2 linked regions of the Ovis aries genome follow. The protein of the gene in region 2 binds, or shares a complex with, the protein of the main gene of each other region. Links are inferred from orthologs where the notes say so. Each region holds a gene or a part of one and is shown on either strand. Other genes may lie near its edges.

Region 1 (3,570 bases), on a different chromosome or scaffold from region 2:
GCATAAAAATAATTAAGCCAGTTATTATTTCTAAAGGTGATAAATGCTTTGGTCAAAAATTTAAAAAGAGTAGAAAAATTAGGAACACCAGAGGTAAGGAGAATGGTTCTAATTTTAAATAGGTCAGGGTAGGCTTCACTGAGAAGGTGTTATTTAGCAAAGACCTGAGGAGATAAGGGAGTGAGTCAGGGTTACTTACACTGGAGAAGAGCTTTCTAGACAGTGGGAAGAGTCAAGGCAAGGGTACACTATATGGATTTAAAGAATAGCCAGGAAGCCTTTGTGGCAGGGAAAAAACAAAAATCATTCTGCTGCTAATGATGCGACCGGCAAGGACTTAATATCTAAGATACACAAACAGTTCATACAACTCAACGATAATAAGAAAGCAAACAACTCAATCAAAAAAATGAGAATACCATAATAGACATTTCTCCAAAGAAGACATACAGATAGCTAGAAGGCACATGAAAAGATGTTCAGCATTGCTAATTATTAGAGAAATCCAAATCAAAACTGCAATGAGGTACCACTTCACATCTGTCAGAATGGTCTTTGTTAAAATGTCTATCAATAATAAATGCTGGAGAGGGTGTAGAGAAAAGGGAACTCTCCTACACTGTTGGTGGCAATATAAGTTGGGGAAGCCACTATGGAAAACACGATGATGGTTCCTCAGATAACTAAAAATAGATTTACCATATGATCCAGCAATCCCAGTCCTGGGCATATACCCAGACGAAACTATAATTCAAAAGAACCCATATACCCCTATGTTTGTAGCAGCACTATTCACAATAGCCAAAACTTGAAAACAACCTAAACGTCCATTGATTGATGAACAGATTAAGAAGGCATGACATATATACAGTGGAATTCTACTCAGCCATAAAAAAGAACAAAATCATGCCATCTGAAGCAACACAGATGCAACCAGAGATTATCGTACTAAGCGAAGTCAGAAAGAGTAAAATAAATACCATATGACACCACTTATATGTGAAATCTGAAGTAGGATGCAAATGAACCTCTCTGCAAAACAGAAGTAGACTCGCAGACATAGGATCAGACTTGTGGTGGCCAAGATGGAGAGGAGAGGGGAGGATGGACTGGGAGTTGGAAGCTGGTAGATGCAAGTCATCACATTTAGAATGGACAACAATAAGGTCCTACTGTGGCACAGGGAACTATATCCAATCACCTGGAATAAACCATAATGGGAAAAATATAAAAAAGAATATATATACGACCATAACCGAGTCACTTTGTTGTACAGCAGAGATTGGCACAACATTATAAATCAACTATACTTCAATTAAAAAAAAAAAAGAATCTGCTTATGGTGATGAATTTTGTAAAATGTTCATCTTCCAGTTGATACCTCATTTTCTGTTGCTTATTTGTTTAAAATGAAAGTCCTAACTCTTGGATAATTTTCCTAGAGTCTCATATTTGTCAAGAAAGGAAAAGTAAGAATTCTGAGAATTTTAAAATCACCCCAAAACCATGATCATTGTTCAAGCCCCTCCGTTTCCACAAACATATATTTGGCAGTGAATTGTTATATAATAAGCAAATATGCCATTTAATAAGAGATGATGTCACTATAAAGAAATTAAGTAAAAGATTTTCATTTTGAACATTTAGAGACTGGGCACAAAGCCTTTGCTATACTCCAACAAAGAAAAATTCCAAGATTCACAGCCAACATAAAAGCACCCATTCTTTCTGAAATGTCACGGCTCTTTTAAACATTTGTTACACTGTTCATTTCATTAACTTTTTTTTTCCAGGAAATAAAACAATCACATTTATTGTGCGATTTTCACAGTATTTATCTGGGTGAGTTTCTCCAAAAAGAATACATATAAAGGGAGTACTTTTTTTTAATGAGGGAAGCTCAGTCAGCTCTCCCGCAAGTAAGCATCTTATTCTTGCCTCTGTGCCTTGCTGAAAATGCAATGGTGATCCACAAGCTTAGAAATGGAACAAGATGTACACAGTCCTACCTTGCCCAGATGATCCTTTTTGCCAAAGCCAGTGGCAGCTGCAATGCTCCCTGCTCCTTCTACTGTCTTCTGTGCCACTGCAGTCACCCCTGTCACCACTGCCTCTCCAACGTTTGTCACTTGCTCTTTGGTCTTCTCAGCCACTGGGATGAATCAAAAATAATGACAGATTAAGGGATGGTGGACCAACAGCCACTAGGAATAATTTCACTTCCACTAACCATCAACTTCCAAAGACCTATATTCACACACGTAGATAACTGGTGAGTCAGGAGAAGAAAAAGTTACTGGGATTGCTAAGTGAGCGTGGCTTAGCCAAACACAGATTCTTTGCCAAGACAGTCTATGCAATCATGCAGATATTTAAAGGTGTTTCAAGCCTAATGATCACAAATTTAGGGCTATAAGCAATTTCACTCTGGTTTACATTTTATGAAAGAAAGTTTACAGAAAGCAAGGCTTGCAGGTGTAGTTGTATCAAACTCTGCATGAAATATTTCTTTATTTCAATTTCAATGCCAAGTCTTTGATCTCACTCAGCATGTTTTTTTCATCACACCTTCTGAGTCACAGAATCATACACGCTCTCACATGGTACCATCAGAAATAAAACAGAGGGAGGGATGACTATGCTGATCCTTTTATGAAGCATCAGGTAGTTGAAACAGAATGAGTTTTAGTGTTAAGATTTATTTTCAGTCATTTTAATGGGAACAAAAGAGCTGGACTTAAAGTATGAAATGAAATTGTTTGTTGAGCACACTTAATTTCTTTTCATTAAAAATAAGATATGGAGATTCGGTAGGCTTTTAAAAATGAGTTAAATTTTAAGATGATGGTATAAATAGTTTGGGATTAGATTTAGAAAGAGATTCGATCTCATGTCAAAAATTATCCAAGACTATATATAACTGTTGAATTAATCTTTCTATATTAACTCCAGACAAATATCAAATAAACAAAGCTGCAATAAAAAAAGTCTGTTTCAATTAAGAGTTTTATGAAAAAGCAGTTAAAGATGAGATTCTACACTTTTAACAATTTCAAGGTCAAGGGAAACAAGACAACTCTCCACCCAAACCTTTTTCCAGTAGTCATGTATGGATGTGAGAGCTGGACTATAAAGAATTCATGTTTTTGAACTATGGTATTGGAGAAGACTCTTGAGAGTCCCTTGGACAGCAAGGAGATCAAACCAGTCAATCCTGAAGGAAATCAGTCATGAATATTCATTGGAAGGACTGATGCTGAAGGTCCAATAATTTGGCTATCTGATGCAAACAACTGACTCATTGGAAAAGACCCGGATGCTGGGAAAAGATCAAACGCATGAGAAGGGGATAACAGAGGATGAGACGGTTGGATGGCATCACCAACTCAGTGGACATGAGTTTGAGCAAGGTCCGGGAGTTGGTGATGGACAGGGAAACCTGGCATACTGAAGTCCGTGGGGTCGCAAAGAATCAGACACAACTGAACAACTAAACTGAACTAAAACCTTATAACACTTACACTCATAAAGCCTGGGTCTTGCATTCTTATCTATATCTAATGCTTGCCT
Region 2 (3,570 bases):
TGGTTACTTCTGTAAAACACTCCACTTTGGTGGATTTAATAAAAGTAACACATAACAAATGTCTGATATATGAAACAGGTCTTTTAAAAAAAGCCACAATGTTGGCTGTTCAAACTGTGCTCCCAGGTGGTCCAAACTCATGGACGTGCTGTAGAATATTTCAAACATTTTGGGAAAACACAGGCAAACTACTGGCTTTGTATAGTTCACAAATACACATCACATTATATTTCTCTTGGTGACACAATGTCTTTATGAAGCCAGGGTTTTAGCAATTCCGGTCATTATAAAGCCCCAGGACCACATGAAAATCAATGTGAAACAAGAGTGCAGGTGGTTCTCCAGAATCAGATTCCAAGGTTTGAGAAGCCATGTGATGCCCAGCAGGCGCCATCTCATTAGGAGATAACCACAGTGACTAACAATGAAATGAAAATATTTCTTTCAGTTTCACTGCTTAAAACTCTAAACTTTTCTTTAGCCTAGGACACTATGAAAAATATCACTGAGATGCAAAGGGCAATGTTAACAAAGAATTGGGGAATGTCTGCCAGTGGCAAAAACAGTAACAGAGACCTTGAGGGCTGGATTCTGATTCTACCAATTACCCAGCTCAAGAGTCTACAGAACGTTATTCACTCTGCTTTAATTTTCTTCAGTGGCAAAACAGGGACAATACCACCACTATGAATATGTGACAGGACTGTTGTAACGACTTTTAGAGGCTGAACATGAAACTCCTATGAAACTGCATCATGACACATTCAACCTGAAGGAAACAACTGATAAACATTCACCAAGAGAAAAACCAAATGGTTAGAGTTCAAGAATTATTTGAAAAACAGGCTCCTACCTTTCTGAAATTTCCTCTAATAACTCCATAAGTTTAGCAGCCAAACCAAGGCGCCGAAACTCCGGGGCAACAGACAGAGCTGTGACATGCCCGTGCCATTCTTCCCTCGCCACTGAGCCTTCTGCTTTGCCCATGACTGCCAATGAAAGACCGCATCCAGTAACTAAACATGGCAACTCACACACAGAGAAATACTGTGTGGTGCACTTTTATCATAAAGGAAATGACCAAGCTCTGATTTTTAAGTAACACTTAAAGCCGAGGTCCCCACCCTCTGGGGACCTGATGATCTGAGGTGAAGCTGATGTAATAATAATAGAAATAAAGTGCACAATAAATGTAATGTGCCTGAATTGTCCAAAAACCGTCGTCACCCCCACCAGAAAATTGATCTTCCATGCAACCGGTCCCTGATGCCAAAAAGTTTGGGGACGGCTGCTTAAAGCCATCTAGCTAATTATTATTAGTGCTCTTACTTGATATGTATTTAAACAACCTACATTTTGTGTGGGTATCTATGTATGTATACACAATAGACAATCCACAGCTCAAACTTGAGCCAGTAACATGACCACTTCTGTTTGGGCCACTGCTCTATCCCCTGAGCCTAGCACAGTACCTAAGACAGAGATATCAGTAAACTGTCAAAGAGTTGAAAAGAAAATTACAGGCATCATGATTTCCAGTTCTGTGATAAGTCTAAGAGTTAAAAACTAATTTTATCTTAACTGCTAACCCAGAAAAGTACTAGTAGTGTTATACTTACTATAACCCATTAACTCGCCTCCAGGGGCCTCTGCGACGATGAAGTATTCTGGCCAGTGGGCAAGGTACTGTAGGTAAAAAGGAATCCCATACTAGAGACTCGTTAAGGAGGATGCAAAGTAAGGGCAGTCAGAGTTCTTCACAAAACGTTTTGAAGTTTCCTTTAAAAAGCATATTGTTCCTTTATCCCTAGCCTTATGTATGATTTCTGCAATCAATTCATTACATGAAATGTTTAGGTTAGCACTAAGTTTTAAGAAAACTGCCTGAATATGTAACCTCAGATGTGAATGGAGACATACCATCCAAGAGTGGAGAACCAGGACCCCCAAGTTCTACAGCCTGTCTCCCCGCTGCTCACACTATGTCTAGATCCCCCTCCCTGCACAGCACTTCCCCATCACCTGGCATTCCTGTCTCCTGTCCCCTTACAGTGAGAGTGTCACCTGCCCTCTCCCCCTGGTGCTGGAGACACAGTGCAACCTCAGTATGTTTATTTCTCCCTTTCTGCACTAGAAAGGGTGACGAGTGCCTTCAGGAGCTTCAGGCACGGGACAGTGAAAATAACTGTAGTTTACTTCCAAAGGCTACGTAACAAACTCAGTTTGTCCAGTCCACTGATTCAAATTCTGCATTTCTAGTAATGCCCAAAATAAAAACCTGATGTTAAAATGAATGCCTGAGTACTTTGCTCATTACTTAGCTCTTCAGCTCTGCTGTCTTGCTGAGTTGTACTCATTTCTATACTTCTCAGTATTAACTTAGGAGAAGGCAATGGCACCCCACTTCAGTACTCTTGCCTGGAAAATCCCATGGACGGAGGAGTCTGGTGGGCTACAGTCCATGGGGTCGTGAAGAGTTGGACACGACTGAGCGATTTCACTTTCCCTTTTCACTTTCATGCATTAGAGAAGGAAATGGCGACCCACTCCAGTGTTCTTGCCTGGAGAATCCCAGGGACGGGGGAGCTGCTGTCTGTGGGGTCACACAGTCGGACACGACTGAAGCGACTTAGCTTCAGACATCAAACCACAAGAGAATAAAAAAGGAAGGTAAGAAAATACCTACAAAAACAAACCCAAAACAAGAAAATGGCAGAAAGAATGTGTCAATAATTACCTTAAATGTAAATGGATTAAATGCTCAAAAGACACAGACTTGCTGAATGGATATAAAACAAGACCCATATATATGCTGTCTCCAAGAGACCCACTTGCAATCTAGGGACACACACAGACTAAAAGTGAAGGGACAGAAAAAGGTATTACATGCAAATAAAAAATCAAAAGAAAGCTAGAGTAGCAATACTCATATCAGATAAAATGGACTTTAAAGACTGTTACAAGAGACGTAATGATCAAGGGATCAATCCAAAAAGACGTATACATGCACCCAACACAGGAGCACCTCACTATATCCCGCAAATGATAACAGAGAAAGAGAAATCAACAACACAGTGATTGTGGGTGACTTTAACAAGCCACTTTCATCAATGGACAGAGACAAAACCAATGAGGAAACACAGGCCTGAAATGACACATTACACCAGATGGAAAAACAAAACCTCAAAATTAGTAGAAGGAAAGAAATCATAAAGATCAGAGAAGAAATAAATGAAAAGATCAATGAAACTAAAAGCTAATTATTTGAAATAATAAAACAGATAAACCTTTAGCCCAAACTCATCAAGAAAAAAGAAAGCTCAAATAAATTAGAAATGAAAAAGAAGTTACAACTGACACCACAGAAATACAAAGGATCATAAAAACTACAAAACAACTGTATGCTAATAAAATGGACAGATTCTTAGATATGGTCTTCCAAGATTGAAGAAATTGAAAATATGAACAAACCAATCACAAGTACTTAAATTGAAACAGTGATTTAAAAACATCCAACAAACAAAAATCCAGGACCAAATGCTTCACAGGTGACTTCTAACAAACATCTAA

The links. Proteins that work in one complex are often made in the same cells at the same time.
Region 1: the proteins of NAA20 (region 2) and SNCA are in contact, whole or in part, in a cryo-EM structure (PDB 7STX), measured with the Homo sapiens proteins. The link is inferred for Ovis aries from reciprocal best matches to the Homo sapiens genes NAA20 and SNCA. Residues at the interface, in NP_057184.1 of Homo sapiens: Leu23, Thr24, Glu25, Tyr27, His73, Val74, Thr75, Ala76, Leu77, Ser78, Leu110, Phe111, Tyr137, Tyr138, Ser139, Ala140; in NP_000336.1 of Homo sapiens: Met1, Asp2, Val3, Phe4.

Annotation. Positions count from the first base shown.
Region 1 is NC_056059.1:35,550,241-35,553,810, reverse strand, and holds part of SNCA (alpha-synuclein), read right to left. Parts: intron 2,153-3,570; coding exon 2,010-2,152; intron 1-2,009. UniProt on the Homo sapiens protein: Neuronal protein that plays several roles in synaptic activity such as regulation of synaptic vesicle trafficking and subsequent neurotransmitter release.
Region 2 is NC_056066.1:39,155,382-39,158,951, reverse strand, and holds part of NAA20 (N-alpha-acetyltransferase 20), read right to left. Parts: intron 1,711-3,570; coding exon 1,620-1,710; intron 1,197-1,619; exon of another isoform or gene 990-1,196; coding exon 854-989; exon of another isoform or gene 1-853. UniProt on the Homo sapiens protein: Catalytic subunit of the NatB complex which catalyzes acetylation of the N-terminal methionine residues of peptides beginning with Met-Asp, Met-Glu, Met-Asn and Met-Gln. Proteins with cell cycle functions are overrepresented in the pool of NatB substrates.